Linked DNA regions of Neodiprion lecontei. The protein of the gene in region 1 interacts with the protein of each later gene in a pairwise test. Links are inferred from orthologs where the notes say so. Each region holds a gene or a part of one and is shown in the gene's direction. Other genes may lie near its edges.

Region 1 (8,264 bases):
AACGGGTTCGCTCACCATTTTAAATTCCTGAGGAATCTTAATATGTGTTTGGGATTGGTTTTCCGAATCAGGCGTTTGAATAAGTATTTGAGTGGGTTTTTCTGTTTTTCTCGAGTTCTCCGGAGAATTTTTATTCGTTGAATTAGAGTTTTGGCTGGAGATTTGCGACTGTTCAGGATTTAGACCTGAGGTTCCCGACGCGTTCGTCTCCTCTAAATTTTCTAATTGTCCTTCGAATAATTGGGTGCCCTGCGTACTAACTTGTGATCTGAGTCGTCGGTCTGAAGGCGGACTATGTACTACGGCTGTGCGTTTTTTATCGGCAGGAGGGTCTTCCTTTCCCATTTAATGTTGGGATTGCACAATCTTTTGTTAATAAGGTTTATTTTGAATTTTAGATCCCGTGTCGGAGAAAAGGAGGTAGGAATCGTTGGAAGTTTGAACGGGAGGTATTTAGAAATAATTTTCGCCTTTTTCCTAATCCTTGCGTCTTCTTCGCTAATCGTTCTGGGTCGCGTTGGGGGCTCGAACAGCTTATTTCTTTCTTTTATTCGTTCTTCTGTATTTCCCTTGCAATAGCAAATATCTTCAGAAGTTCTGATGGTGTGGTTAGAATTCTGCGGTTTATTGAGATAAGGCTCCTTTACAGAGTCCGGGATTTCGTGCGGATCGCTTAATATAATCGGCTGAGTATATTGTTCCCAAAGCTTCGCTATGGTTCCGCGTTTTCCTCCGTTTATTTCGTTCGATTTTGGGAGCATTCGTTATGAGAACAAAGGGTATTTGTCAGAGGTTTCGATTAAAGGTTGAAATCCTGGTTCGACAGAGTATTTCGATGAAAACGAGGGATCTCGGCGATACAAGATCCCAGTAGTTGCGATATTGAAGTAATATTTGAATGGGAAATTTCCAGAGCGGATGGAAAAATTCTTGATTGACTCATTGATTTTTAGGATTTTGGCGAGTTAACGGGTATTCAAATTCGAGTTCGTTTAGTCATTTTATTAAATCGAGCGAGATTAGGGTGATTTTCAGTTCGTGTTGGTAGCGCGCAAAAATTCCGCCGTCCGTCGGTCGCTACTCGCGTCACAAAAAGTTTTTCGCGATTATAACGTTTGGTCTTCCCGGCCGATGCACCAGAAAATTTTTGATATGTGACGTCGGAACGGTACCTAGTGGAAATCTCCAGATGTTAGACACCGGAAACATTCACACACAGTTACAGCCAGACTCACATCAGTAGTTTGGGTCACCAATTACCGATTAAGTATTGAAATACACCGGACAACGGGCATTCTGTCGCTCTAGTCGAACGAACCGAAGAGGGAGAAATTGTTGGATAAAAGATTTAATTTGGCTTACCTTTTTGAGAGTATTCTGGATGCGATGACTTGTAGATTGGTGAGAGGTTTTAGTGGAATAACTGACTTTAATATATTTGGATATTTTGACTAACTTGGTTTATTTTATAAGTTTGATATTTAAAAGTCACAAACGCAGAGTTACACAGTGTAAGATCTTAGACTTAGTAAAAATGGAGTTGAAGCTCGCTGAACTTTTGGGCAGAGTAACGTTGTATGAAAGTTTTAATGCAAAAGGCTAAAGGATTTTACCGCGAGACTGTACCGGAACTAGATGACGAATCTGGAGGTAGAAACACAAGAGAGCGATCGAGTGATCGGTCGCCCTTTTTATAGGGGTCGATCGTTGCGCAGAACGATCCCCCTCTCTAGTTTTTTGGTCGCCTTTGCGCACCTCCCCTCTTTTCTAGGAATTCTAATTAGGGCACGACATCTTCGCCGCATGCACGCCTGTGATCTTATTTCTTTAGCTATTACTATATTGTAGGTTTTTACGTATGGTATATCGCTGCTTGGTGCGGTGGTGTAGGTGCGTGGACTTGGTTCCGTAGTTCTCCGAACTGCGTGAGCTTTTCGTTGTGTCGCCAGCCCCCTTTGTGGCGCCAGCCCCCTTTGTGGCGCCAGCCCCTTTGTGGCGCCCGTCAGCCACTTAACTACCTGTCTACCTCTGAATGTTTTTGCTATCTTGCTCGTTACAAAGCCCATATTTCATTTTGGTTACCTGTCGTTTGTTAGTTTTATAGTTATATCTATATAGAATTGTATATGTATTATAGTCGACTACTGTCGTTGTTAGTTTTATAGTTGTATCTATATAGAATTGCATATGTATTAAAGTCGACTACTGTCGTTGTTAATCTGGAGTACAATAGCAATTGTTTATGAACATAGTTTGTTATTTGTTTAGCATTATTAGAATCACGCTGCTGCGAATATCTTTAGTTGTTTGTGTTATAACTATCTTAACAGATTTAGGGTACTTAGTAATTTGATGATTCATAGCTTTAGAGCAGGTTTACATGTGTGCTTTTGTATATGATTCCCTTCTGTAGTTGTTAATTCTTATATTGATATAAATCGGCTTGGAAGCTTCTAGAACGTTTTCGTTTCGTCGGTAAGTTTCCTAATGTATTCTCTAGGTAAGGCTCTGTATGGCTCCACATTGGAGATCTGCATTGCCTTCAAAACGTTGCGCGTGTTGCCTACAATACGGCGTTGCGGAAGAAGGTATAGTTCATGCTGGGTAATTAGCATTCACGGTTTGATGGTTTTGCAGTCTCTGGTTTTATGGGTTATTGCAGCAGTGCTATCTTTACATTATATTGGTTATGCATTTATCTATGGTTTTACAGTCTTCTATACTCCAGGCTATATAGTAAAGCGTATGTTGCTTAAGTATAGCTCTCAGCTCCGAATGCACAAATGGCATTGCTGAGTGCTATATAATAATTGGGTATAATTGTGTTAGTTAATTATAGTGTTAATGTGATAGTGATATATAATAACGTATAATAATATTATAGTTCTCTGTAGTACGAAGATCTCGTAACATGGTTTGTAAGCCTTGGCTAGTGAATTTCATAGTTATTTCCATCTAGGGGTATTCCAAATAGTTAGACAGTTGTTTTAATTTCTTATGGTTACAAGATTCTCGTACTTAGAGTTTGGTTAGTTGATAAAAGTAACATGCAGTAATAATAATCGATAAAACATACGGACGTTCCGGTCGGACGTTACACACTCCTCAGCAATCCCTAGTACACTACCCTAGTTCTTTTTACACTCGCGAGTGTAGAGTATAGCTAGCACGAACAAACCTAGGCCGTGTTCGTAAATTGACTGCCAGTACTAAAAATTCCCTAGGAAAGAGACAGAGCTGTCCATGAACTCGGCAGCGCAAATGAGATAAAAGATTGCCGACAGTGGTGTCAGTCAATTTTCGAACACGGCCAAAGTGTAACGAAAGTCTAGTGACATTTGTAAAACAAACAGCGCCATCCGACGTCACGTCCGCTAAAACGAACGCGCAAGTGTACACCCCCACGAAAGTGTAGAAAGTGTAGCTAGCACGAACAAACCTACTACCAAATAGGGCCTCTAAATTGGAATTGTCCGACCTTTATACGAGGCCCTAGTCGGTAACTTGCCATCCAATTTTCCTGACACACCATCTCCCATAAGGCCAGCGCCCTTTAGTAGAGTATGAACTGCATCTTCACGTTGACTGACCAACGGTCTTCATTGTAGATTCACTGTTCACCGACCAAACCTGACCAAACTGACTATGTTGCATCCGTCAATCAATGTCAAGCTACTGTCAAACAAGTGAAAACCTACAATCATTTTGAAGGAAAAGACGGAACAAAGAACTGTCGAATATTGCGACATGCCTGGAGGTTGCAGATTTCTCAAACAGTCAACACGTTTACAAGAAAAGTCATAATTGTATAAAGATGGATTTCGAAAGCCCTGATGTTGAAAAAGATTTTCCTGGCTTGTACGCTTCGGAATCCGGGAGAAAGAGCAATGAAAGCGACTGTAAGATATTAATGATTCTTCATCCTAGGAGCACGGGCTCATTTTTTGCTTGCAGAAATCGCACACGCATATTCACACGCGCGCGCGCGCGATAGTATTACATTCCTCCTGTGGAAACTATGTTCCTATTTCGGCATAAATCTCCCAATTTTCTCGAGAGTTGAATAAATCTTCATCGAGTTATATAACTTGTAACGGACATATACATGTAGGCCAAACTTCTGTGTAGAGCTACACAAGGTTCACGAGACTTGCGTGTAGTTCTAAGTATTGAAGCGTAGCATTTTTAATGACACCTGTAGTGTCTGACATTCGACTTGAAATTTATAGTTTTAAAAATCAAACAAACCACTAGTTCAAACAATATTTATGTTGGAAAGTTAGTGACGATGGACACGATAGGCCGTCTAAGAAGGAACTTCTCATTGGCAAACGTAAGGACAAAAAAGACAAAAAGGATCGTGGATATGCTACGCTAGAGGGTGAAAGCTCCCCAGAAGAAGACATCGAAACTAAGTATTGTAATACTTATGCCTTTATAGTAATAATGCCTTTCATGCAGAAATTATATTCATTTTTTTAGTATATCATGGAAAAAATAGAAGACAACATCTATCAGATGTTATCTCTAATTATGATACTTTCTCAATCAGATATCTCAGTTTATTGAATTGTTGCCTGCTATTCAACACATATTTGTCCACGGAATTAATTTCAATAATTATCATTCAAATCGCTGAATGATGTACATTTGCGAAGATGTATTGAAGGCAACAAAAGTGTCTTATATAATACTAATATGGATTACGCGTCTTTTTTTTACGTCTTTTCCGGATGTAAAGCAATCACTTTTACGACAGTATAAATAAAGAGCATCGAAGTATGTAAAAGTACACAAAAACATCCTAGTATTTCAAAGTGCTCTTTTTCGTACTTGGTTAAAAATAAAAATTGTGAGCCACACTTCTATTACGTAAAGTATTATGTGCACCATGGAGGGAAATTATATTTTGACTCACGTATTTGCAATATTTGTCTTCGGCTTGCGTAAACATGCTCACTTACATCTCATATTGCAAACTTGTGCTTGGCGTGAAAAGATCTACTTTGCTTCTTTGGTGCACAACCTACTATTACAATTACTGATTTCTGTTTTGCTTGAAATCTTCCGTAATTCCTCATAATCGCTTTTAGTGAATTTTTTCTATCACGCTAAACCTTGTAAGGGTGCTCACTATTACATATTCTTAATCAACATTAGCATGGTAGATCTAATTACGTTTGCAGCCCATTAGCTGTTGCCTGTCGATTGGCTGAGATTCTGAAATTAATAGCTTCTGTCATCACTCAGAGATGCATGGCCCTCATATTTTCTTTACGTAAATACTATTCCCAGCTACTCTGTTTTTGCTTGAAAAAAATAAGAGTGCTTAACGAATATGTCTATCAACTGCTTTGTTTCTAGTTGCGGTGACTTAATTTTGTTGATTATACTTGCTCTAATTTACTTAACAAACCTATATTTTGTGATAAAAGTTTTTATTTACTACGTACAAGAGACAAGCAATTAATTTCTTACCTAATAACATTTCCACATGTTATTTAGCTATGCACACTCACTCAAGACAGTTCTTGTAGGTTTAGATATGAAATTAGTATCTTATATGGTTGAGACTATTACAAATGAGTTAACGGCTTCTGCGTATCGCATCTATTGACTTGCGATATATTTACAAAATAGATGTAAAAGGGACTTATAAATCCCCATCCTACACAAACGTTTTTGAATTTATATGTATATATATCTAACGAAAGATAAATGTGTTTGGCCATCTTTTCATATTGTACGCATTGTACTTCTTAATGTATACATTTCTTAGGAGTCCATCGAAGTCAAAAAAGTCTAAAACATTCAAGTTCCCATCTAAGAAGGAAAAGCGAGAGAAATCCAGAGAAAAAGATGGTAAGGAAAAGGAAACAGATAAAGAGAGAGAGAGGAAAAAAAAAGACAAAGACGACAAGGATACGGACAAAGAGAAACGTAAAGATAAAGATAAGGAGAAATCTAAACAAAAGTTGAAGGATCGCAAAAAAGGAAAACATTGGGAAGAAACTGTTGATATTGGTGGTAAGACAACTGCAGAGAATACTGAAGCCCTGTGATTGGGGTGATATACCAATAAAAAATTAATCAATCTTTATTGATCAACATGTTTCAGAAGAACAACCAATCTTTGGCGTTGCTCTTCAAATGGCTGTGGAAAGAGGCCGTTGTCATGACGGAGTGGAGCTTCCATTGGTTGTAAGAAATTGCATTGATTACATTGAAGAATATGGCAAGTCAATAGCATCAATAATTATATCTTTGAATATTTAGTGACAACTGGCTAGACGGCCAGGCTCATGTACTTCATCTTGATGGTCAATTTGTGTGGAAGTGCTTTTGCAGTATAAAAATATCAAGGTCTAGAAGAGGCATTTAAAAGTCTCCTGTGTAATCATCGACTTGAGTGACATATAAATGTTATTCAATTATTCAAGTCTATTATTGTCTATTAGGGAGAGAACATCATATAGCTCAGGTCCGCTCGAGCACTCCGTTTATAGCGACAAAAAAATTATCTGTAGCTGATCAACTCTGGTATTCTCCAGTCGAAATTTCAAAATGGCCTGACACTGCAACGCTTACATGTATCTGCAAATTTTCTCGTTATCGCTTCCAGGTATGACTGTGGATGGACTATACAAAGTTTCAGCAGTAAAATCCAAGGTCCAACATCTGCGAAAACTTTACAATCAACGAGAAGTAGTAGATATGTCAGAGTTTGATCCCATGGTGGCTACAAGTTTGTTGATACTATTTCTCAGGTTGTAATTAAATTCTGACTGAAATATTGTTCAATAAAAATGAAAATATACCAGGTACGTAATTACGTGGAGTAATCAGGATTTCTGTCTCCTACCTTGCAGAGAGTTGCCGGAACCAATACTTGAAAATGGCGAAGTTGTATCTCGATTTGAACAGGCAGCTTCATTGAAAGAAGTTGCTTTGAGAGAAACGCAGCTAATTGATTTGATAAGTCAACTACCCAAGTGTAACAAGACTCTTTTGGCATGGGTGATCTTGCATTTAGATCACCTCACTGCACATGTGAGTGTTCAGGAGTAAATATTCCTTGTAATGCTCAATGAAACAAGGTTCTTATTAAATTTTAGGAAAAAACTACCAAAATGAATGCTCAGTCTATTGCAATGACACTGAGTCCAGTTTTGCAAATGAGCCATCGACTACTCTTGGCATTGCTGTTACATTGCAAAGCATTATTTGCAAATGTTGAATTATCCAAGTATATTCCACCATTGGCCTCTGGTAGTCCAAACTTACCAGACACTATGGATGCCATAGCTGCCGAGTTGGCCAAACAAGAATCATTGCTGTCTCAAATTCATATGCAAATGAACGCAGGATTTGTAACCAAATTGAGAGAGGAACAATTGTGGGAAGTGCAGCGTCTCATAACGCAGCTCAAGGTGAGAGGTTTCGCAATTTCACGAAAAAAATACAGATTCCGGAAAGGAAAAGAATATTAATCAAATCTCAGTATCAGCAAACTAGCCAATGAGTATAAGTAAATTAATATTCATTTCTTAGTTTGGAATGTTTGTGAAATGTTTGTTTTGGAAATGACACTCATCCTGTAGGTTTGAAAATAGTAGTACAGATTGTAGACTTATTACACTTGTAGAGAAAATACAAAACTGTGCAAAAATTGGAGGGATCAACGCACAAAAGTTTAGAAGAAGATTTGAAGTTAGGCGACGAGGGTAATCTTGATATCAGTTTGCACAAAGCTAAGATCGTTCCTGAGGAAGATAATAGTTACATCAAAGCTGATTATCAGCCATTGCCTATGGCTGTTGTAGCCCATAAAGAAAGTTGTTCTCAAAGTATGGACGAATCAAACGACCAATGTGATACACCTGAAGTGAATGAGAAATTAGGTATGCTGCCTGCAAGTAAACACGTTTCGCAAACTAAATGCATCCAAGAAAAACTGGATGCATCAGCTAATGAACTAACACCAGACGAAGTAGTTAATCGAAACAGTGGGGAAACTTTGCAAATTTGTATGTATAATATTTTGATTGAAACGTGTATTTGTTAAAAATATTAATTCCAAATGACGTTTATCGCACACTAGAAAATGTGATTTATACCTGTTTTATTAAAGTGAAAGCTCGACAGATATCTCTCGATAGTGACGAGGAACTGAGAGAACGGCTGATCTATGGCGAATTATTAGCAATGCAGGAATCACTAGGATCGCGTATTGCCGAAGAGCGAGGTGAAATAAAACGATTGGC
Region 2 (8,899 bases), on another chromosome or scaffold:
CCCTGCCAGTAAAACCCATAGAATAGATTAGAGTTCAAACCGCTAACAGTCTAGTGTGTCTAGGGTAGAATTATTATTAATAATTAATAATAGGAACGTTTAAGCGCTACCCATGAAATAAGATGACAAAGTTTTGCCTTAGACTCTCTCCACTTTCTGTGCTTATCAGTAGCGCCGATAGAAAGTGCACACAGCAAGCTACTGTTAGCCATCACCTACGTCAGCACAATAACTTATGTAGGGTATCATTTTTTTTCTGCTTTTATGTCATATTCGCCTTTCACCTTTGACACGTGAAAAATGAAAACAAAATATCAGGGTCTGTAAATGCACGATAAACCGTAATTTCTATTAGCTTTTTATTTTATTATCGTCATCATTACTAATCCTCTTTTCAATTCCACTCAGCAAACTGATATTTTTAGTAAATATTTTACGCCATTCGACGTATGTAGCAGGCAATGATGATCCGAATAATTATTCAAGTAACCATACTGCAATAACGAATTCTATTAGCTGCCCTAGAATAACTAGGAAATGTGTACTAGAAGATATCTAGCTGTACGCTCACTGTATCAGTGAGGCAGCGGTATGCCGATTATACCTGAAGTGATTATGAAGAATCAGACAAACAGTAATAATAAACATTATGAAGCAACAGAAATATCTTTCTTTGTTATAATTTTTTATTCAACTCATTAGGGTCGCCGTTGATTAATTATCGAATCGTAATTCGCTCGAACGATCCATGTACACGTAATTTAAAATTAACAGGACAAACATTGTATGTGGCATGGAAAAGAATTGATGAGAACATAGCTCTATATTTTGCCCGCTTATCTTCTAATAACCCTAAACATCATTATTATTGCATGGTTTGTACATATTAGAGCGCAAAGTGTGTATGTTAGTAAGGATGGCCGTGCATCTGTCGATTTGCGAATGTCGCGTGCGGTTGTGGTATACGTGAGATAATATTATAGTGATATACATGAGCTATAAATATACATATATATATACACGTGTATATATATATATCTACGTGGATAATATATATAGATTTATGATTATTAATTATATATTATTATTAATAATAAATTCTTGATCATAGTGACAAAATAACTGGGTATTTAAATAAGTCATATACAAACGTGTGCCGAATCGTATGTCGGCTGTTTTTCTTGAATAAACAACAATGATTCGATCTGTTTTTATTCGTATATTTGGCAATTTATCGTATGACTGAATTGTATGAGTAATATACTAACAATAAACCTGCGTAACAATGAAACACTTTTCTTATATGTACAAAACAATGATCGTACCAACATCCATAATAATGCGTGTAAAAAAGTCTACCATAATTGTAAAAGAATTGATGTAATGAAACATTGTATTTGAGACTCAGCAGTTGCCTCCTGATTAACAATTTTCATTCAATTGTTGGGGAAATTGAGAAATTATCTAAACTTGTTCCTTATAGAAAAAAAGATATTGATCTGAGTTTCAACAGCTTATTGTAGTGATCCGTACTCGTTAGCATAACTTATATTGGCTGTCCTTGTATCGATCGAAATTTATACACATTAGGATAACCACATGATTGGCATGTACAGCAAATCTACAAATGAAATAAAATCACAAGTTCGGTTAAGGCTGAATCAATTTTTTGGAGGATCTTCTCTTATCATCTCCAAAGAACTATCGGAGTTGTTGGTGCTGCTACCACTCCCTGCATCATCTAGATCTTCTCTATCGCCTGTTTTCTCTCTTACTGTCGACGTTGCTAGCTGCCAAGTTGGAATGGATGCCGGTACACTCGGAAATTGTTTCCTATTGGTAAAGAAAATGTAATTCCGATATTATTCACAACTTACGAACAAAACAAATTCAGACAAAACTAAATCACTATTTACTCTGCAAAATAGACATTGCTGTACCTTGATAGCAGTAGACCCTTGAGACTGGCTAAGTCCTGTTTCAAGTCTTGAACGAGCTGTGGTATGCTAGGATCGATGGAGTGGTTTTCCGTCAGTTTACTGACGTCTATCTCTACCTTGGAAATGGAGTCTTTCATTTCTCTCAATGAGGTTTTAATAGTTTTGTCTAAGTCCGTTACGGATTCTTCCACAGTTTTGCGACTCTTGCGTCCAAATAAATAAGGCTCTATGAATTTCTAAAATACAATTGAAAGTCAATTAGGATAATTCTTTTAAATAGTATAATGGATCTTGTAACTCGAAGAAATGACAAGGTTAAATTGTTGCAGGTTCATTTAATTGAAACAGAATTACTACCATTTCCATTTGAGCCTTTTAGGTAGAACCTTGGCAATTTTTATATCTTCAATAGAATCTCGAAACTAACATAGTACATATAATATTCTATGCAGCATAAGGAGCGGAATCTCACCTTGTAGAACCAATATATACAATAAGTTGCAGTTCCAAACAGAGCAACGGTATTTAGAATTTCTTTGACTCTTTGAAATGTTGTTTGACGATACGATTGTAGTTGGTAATTTGGGTAGCTGTGACCATGATTCATAGGAACAACTGTGAACTCTTTTTGATTAGGAGTAAACGAAACTTCTGTGACAATTTGGTCCCCCCCCGCGATTTCACATGCTTTAATAATTTCGTTTTCCGAGAGACCTTTTCTTCGGAGAAATTCCTGTTTCTGTTTTAAAGGACTCGGAACTACCTTGGGATTTTGTAAAAATTTTACAGCAGTCCTGACCTAGATTGAGATGAAAGAGAGAAGCAGCTAGTAATTTAGTTGTTAAAAATTTGAAGAACAGCTATAAAGCGAAGTGTTGGTGAATTTATAAAGGTAATCGAGTGGTGCTTGTGTGTTTTCATTAATTGAATAAATGTGTCGTCATCATGCTTAATTAAATTGTTTCGAATGTGAAATAAAATCCCGGATATTCTAACCTAAAGTAGCGAAAAGTACTTACGAGCTCATCCCGCAAAGATACGCTATTATTACTTTCCTCAATGGCCATCGCGTCGATTATAACTCACTTTTGCTAGCCGATAAACGTAGCTTCATACTCATGTAACAGATTCTAATAAGTATGTATTACGGTAATTAGATGTGATTTTTCGTTCACTGCAAAATGAACACAACAGAAAAAGTGCAGTCTATTCCACGCAAGCGCACGATTTATACTATTATCCACTGATACATAATAGTATGGGTATACGGATACATCAAAAATTCTTTGGTCAGTATGAGATTAACACGGTCAAGGTTAAAAACAATCCCGAAAATACAAGAAACTATAAACAAATCGCTGACTCTTTCAAATAATGAAATTATGATCGGTAAAGGCAATCGGAAATACTCGGCAAGAGATAGTCTCTCTTCTATGCTTCTAGATCTCCCGATATTACGCGCACCTTATCAGTTGTGAAATATTTTCATTTCCTTTGTTTACCAATGTTTTCCAAGCTAAAAACAAATAAATGAGCAATGTCGTAGATAAAGACGTGTTGAGATATCTTGTTTTCTTTCAGCCCAATACACTTATAATAGTAATTCCCATATAGGTATATCGTATTCAACGTTGACTTCAATCAAATCTCAAGTAACAAGATCAAATTAACTACTGTATTATTGTTGACAAATAATTAAGAAAGAGAAATACGATTGGTTTGTTCCGTGCTATTTAATCGATTGAATTTACGTCAGGTTGACAACATGGTACACTCATCGATTCGATTCAACCTGTTGGATCATTGAGCCGGTATGCCTACACGGTATCATCCAGTGACGATCACTGACAACCGTAGTAGGAAAAAGTGGGTGTCGCTGCCGCATTCGCAGTTCTGTGTGCCCGCTGAACAGCTGCACTTCAGCGTAATTTCTACGATTTTCTTGAGTCGTCTGAATGCGTAAGTAAGAAAGTGTCCATTATAATTCATTGCTTTGTTATATGGTTGATTCTCAATTGTTTCCTCGGCTAACACAACTCTACATCTCATCGAAAAATTAATCTGTTCTGAATTAAGCATCGTCCACTTGTCAATCGATAATACTAACGGTCCGAAGAACGTTCGCCCGTAGAGATGGATCTTGGATGTGTTGCATGACGTTTTGAACCATCATTAGATTGTCGGACGCTCGGTGGGCGTTTATCGGGTCATCAAGCGTCATTTTTAACCAGTTTCTACGTTAAATAAAGTCTTGGTCGTTTCATGACTGATTAAAAATATTATTTATCACAGATCCGAACGAGCTGTACGCGAATTTTCGGTTCTCACTTCCAACAATTCATTGATCGGTTTCCGTTTTCACTTCTCTACAACTATCCGAGCTCTTTGAACAAGTGCTCAACACCGAACTGCTACAAGCAACAGCATTAAATGTTGACCACGGTGTCAACGAATATTCTGTGACAAATACATAGGATAATTTATCGAAATCACAAGTAGGCTGCTTGCCTTTAGACAATTGACTACCCTGAGTGTGAGAAAAATGGTAATCGACCAGTTTCGGCACTGTGAAAATACCAAGTGCATGTCTCTATTAGAATGCATCTCAATTACTACTTAATGACTTTGGAAGGTCAAGAACTAGAGGGCCAAAATTGTGATTGTATTTATTCAAACGAATGCAAAGTAGGCTATCTAATTAGTATATTAAGTGTTGAATCATCATAAATTGTTGAATTATAAATTTTTACGTAACTCTGCCCTGATTAGTTATATATGAATTTACAGGTGCGTAACCAAAAAAGTAATTCACAGCCTCCGTCAAGATGATCGGGGGACTGTTTGTCTACAACCATAAGGGAGAGGTGTTGATCTCTCGAGTATATCGTGACGATATTGGCAGAAATGCAGTCGATGCATTCAGGGTCAATGTTATTCACGCTCGGCAGCAAGTACGATCGCCAGTTACCAATATTGCCAGGACGTCGTTCTTCCATATTAAACGAGCCAATATCTGGCTGGCTGCTGTTACCAAGCAAAATGTCAACGCTGCTATGGTCTTTGAGTTTTTATTGAAAATCATCGAAGTCATGCAGTCGTATTTTGGCAAAATATCTGAGGAAAACATTAAGAACAACTTTGTCCTGATTTACGAACTGCTTGATGGTAAAAAAAATTGCCTATTCCATCGTATGAGTTTCATCTTAAAATCATGCACAAAATGGTATTTGGTCATAATCATTGATTATGACTATTTTTCTATCGATTCTTTAGAAATTCTGGATTTTGGTTACCCACAAAACTGTGACACTGGGGTACTGAAAACCTTCATCACTCAGCAAGGCGTCAAGTCCGCCACAAAAGAAGAACAGGCTCAGATTACTTCCCAAGTTACAGGTCAAATCGGATGGCGACGAGAAGGAATAAAATATAGGCGCAATGAACTTTTCCTTGATGTTCTTGAATACGTCAATTTATTGATGAGCCCCCAGGGCCAGGTTCTCAGCGCTCATGTGGCTGGCAAGGTTAGCAAACATTCTTACCATCTTTTTTCAGATGCCTAAGGATTTAAAAACCGTTTTGATGTTTGACATTATTAGCATTGATGGAACTATTCAAATATGTTATTAATTTTAAAAGTTTTCTCTCCCAAACAGGTAGTGATGAAGTCCTACTTGTCAGGAATGCCAGAGTGTAAGTTCGGGATTAATGATAAAATAGTGATGGATGCAAAAGGAGTGAAAGGAGGAGGTGGTAGTTTAGGTAGCACGGGTGATGACCCTGGAGCTAGATCTGGCAAGCCTGTGGTGGTTATCGATGATTGCCAGTTCCATCAATGTGTCAAACTTTCCAAGTTTGAGACAGAACATTCCATCAGTTTCATCCCACCGGATGGTGAATTCGAATTAATGAGGTAATTGATGGGTTCCAGTAACGGTTCTTTTGGTAGCATCCAAACAATGAGTAAATACATAAACATCGAGTGATTTGAAAACTTGAAAAATAATTATGTAAAATATTGTTGTACCAGATATCGGACCACAAAAGATATATCACTGCCATTCCGCGTTATACCATTGGTACGTGAAGTCGGCCGCACGAAGATGGAAGTAAAGGCTGTCCTCAAGTCAAGTTTCAAATCCTCTTTACTTGGCCAAAAGATCGAGGTCCGTGTTCCGACGCCATTGAATACAGCTGGCGTACAACTGATATGTTTAAAGGGAAAGGCAAAATATAAGGCATCGGAAAATGCAATTGTATGGAAGATAAAGCGAATGGCTGGCATGAAAGAGACGCAGTTGTCTGCTGAAATTGATCTGTTAGAAACTGATACGAAGAAGAAGTGGACACGACCACCAATTTCCATGAACTTTGAGGTTCCATTTGCCCCTTCTGGATTCAAAGTTCGTTACTTGAAAGTATTTGAATCTAAACTGAATTATTCTGATCATGATGTTATTAAATGGGTCAGATACATTGGACGAAGTGGCCTATATGAAACACGATGCTAATCACCAACTTGTCGATGATAAAATACAAAAAAGTAATCTCACCTTTGAAGTGTAATGAACATAAATGTAATAAGGCTATAGCTGCGTTTTACACTTGGGACTTGCGGTATATAAACAAACTAAAAAGTTGCTGGTATTTATTCTCGTAAGTTCAAAGTTCAAACGTCCCTTGTAAGTATGGAAAGATCCAAAAAATTAATGATTTTAATCCGATTACATTATAAGGCGTAATTAATTATAGCAATGTCGCAGTCTTTCGGGGTATTCTCTAAGAATTCGCACAAAAGAAAAGGACAAAACATTCCGCCTAAACAGCCCTTAAAAATGTCAATGCCACCGTTCTGATCAAAATACAATACTTTTCCTATAACTGCTTATTTCAATCAGGGAGCATTTTTATGCGAGGCATAATTTACCGTCAACGATTAAAATAATGCTCCAATATATCGTGAAAATGTATTTAAAATGTGAACGATTTCTCTAGAGATGTGCCCGGCTGGTCCATGGTCACTTGAAGGCGTATGTCAAATGTAGCTTCTGTCTCTCTATATTATATCGATATATTATAGGTATATACATGTATGTATATATGTATCACAAACCGCATGATTAAACGTTAGTGCAGTGTTTAAGTTGATTTTCAGTTATACCCGAAATTATAAGAAAAATAAAGCATAACATTCAATACTTGAACATTACTGGTTTTATTAAAAAATTGAGTACACGAAGCGTTGATAGATTGTAAAAAGTAGTTTGACCGTATATTGAAAGACGATCTCTGTCACTGGTGACTAATCGATAGTTGACATAAATTGGACGAAATTCTTCTAGTCTTTTTACACAGTTGCAACTATCTCATTTTATCACCAAACCTCACGTGTTCAACATTTCTTGTTTTCACAATATTTTCGTGTTTTTATAGTACATATACATTTCCAAATAAGATAATTTAGCAAGCATTCCATTCCTAATAAATACAGCTAATAAAATTCCCTCAGAAATTCGGTCTATGATTTTCTAATTTTTGAGCTGCAACAAAATCTACTCAATACAGAACTCTTTAAAGTGCACGAAAGAAAATAAGTATGTGCTTCAGAATGGAAATTAAACCCTTTTACAGTGATCTATTGAATAATTATACTGTGCGTACTATTTCTTTTATCACGAACACCTCTATCAAATGTGAGTTAGAAATAATAATATCATTTAATGTAAATGATATATGACTTCTTCAGTTTTACGTTTGACAATCAAACTTAGTCAATCAAAATATGAATAAAAGAATTCAATTCAGCTATTGATAATAACACATAATAAAGTACACTTGCATACTTATTTAATGATTCACAGTGATAGAGATTGGCTTTTGAATTGAAAAAAAATGACTTGTGTGCAACTCATTTGAAAGGTTTGTACCTTTGAGATCCTATACGAATTTAAATGGCAAATAAGCCATCTACTTTTCAGGCTGATATTCTCGTAAAACACTTCAACTACCAAGTAACTAAAATCCAGTGATTATTTTTGGATAATGCATATTACATTACGTAAACTATTATCACTTGCAAAATTTCGAGTGATTTTCACGATAAGAAATGTCACACTAGAAGTCGATTGAATCCGTTATGTTACAGTTATTGAAACTGACTAAATGCGTAGCTAGATTTTATGTGAATACAATGATTTAAAGTACAAGTTAACGTACCTGCTAACGTTTCAACGAACATGTCGTTATCATAGCAGTGAAACATTTTATTGGAATGCAGGCTTAAAATGATTTCGGTTAGAACGCTTGAAATGAAATCTATATGAATCGTTATAGTTAGTGACTAATCTGTCTGAATGAGAGATTATGATGAATTAGTAACTGATAGTAGCAGTTTATATACAAAAGTTTATAAATAGATATACATATACATTAATTGTAAGCACACGTCTCGTTACTTATTATAATTTTTCTACATTAATTAATTTTATTTCAATCTTTTATCTGGTTGGCACTTTCCGTAAACTGAGTACATTAGATTACTGCTGTGATTTTTTGACCAGTTCAGTTATCCAATTCTGAATAAACAGAGCCACGCTAAAAATAAACCAAATATTCACTATGCCGAGATATATATTCATTGCAATTTTCAGTATATGCTCATTTAGAAGGCCACAAATGTTAGTACAGCAAATTGATTTTTCGATTAGAATTTTTGTAATTTTGAAAAGTTGATTTCAAAGTGTTTTATAAAAATACAGTCCTTCCGGGGCAAAGGAAACATTTTCGAAAAATAACTATCATTTGTCGAAACTATTCCTTTCCATAAAAACCATGATATAGTATTGTATATGTTCATGACATTTTGTTGATGGTTATGAATATCTTTTTCGCCAAAGTAATTCTTTGTTGTCAAGAGGAATTATATAGAAATTATGTTAAGTGAACTGTCACTGATTTCT

The links. The genes of interacting proteins can lie anywhere in the genome.
Region 2: the proteins of ralA-binding protein 1 (region 1) and AP-2 complex subunit mu interact in a two-hybrid assay, tested with the Drosophila melanogaster proteins (2 studies listed by BioGRID). The link is inferred for Neodiprion lecontei from reciprocal best matches to the Drosophila melanogaster genes Rlip and AP-2mu.

Annotation. Positions count from the first base shown.
Region 1 is NC_060265.1:31,647,065-31,655,328, reverse strand, and holds the start of ralA-binding protein 1, read left to right. Parts: upstream 1-3,380; 5' UTR 3,381-3,499; exon of another isoform or gene 3,500-3,608; 5' UTR 3,609-3,814; coding exon 3,815-3,899; intron 3,900-4,279; coding exon 4,280-4,415; intron 4,416-5,779; coding exon 5,780-6,027; intron 6,028-6,118; coding exon 6,119-6,235; intron 6,236-6,622; coding exon 6,623-6,767; intron 6,768-6,869; coding exon 6,870-7,050; intron 7,051-7,115; coding exon 7,116-7,430; intron 7,431-7,645; coding exon 7,646-8,027; intron 8,028-8,131; coding exon 8,132-8,264. UniProt on the Drosophila melanogaster protein: Participates in receptor endocytosis during interphase, is also involved in mitotic processes when endocytosis is switched off.
Region 2 is NC_060261.1:8,412,597-8,421,495, forward strand, and holds AP-2 complex subunit mu, read left to right. Parts: upstream 1-3,759; 5' UTR 3,760-3,899; exon of another isoform or gene 3,900-3,903; intron 3,904-4,510; exon of another isoform or gene 4,511-4,625; intron 4,626-4,727; 5' UTR 4,728-4,765; coding exon 4,766-5,105; intron 5,106-5,213; coding exon 5,214-5,464; intron 5,465-5,596; coding exon 5,597-5,853; intron 5,854-5,970; coding exon 5,971-6,451; 3' UTR 6,452-7,144; downstream 7,145-8,899. Other genes in the region: peroxisomal membrane protein PEX14, read right to left, coding at 1,662-1,833, 1,941-2,176, 2,413-2,739, 2,960-3,007.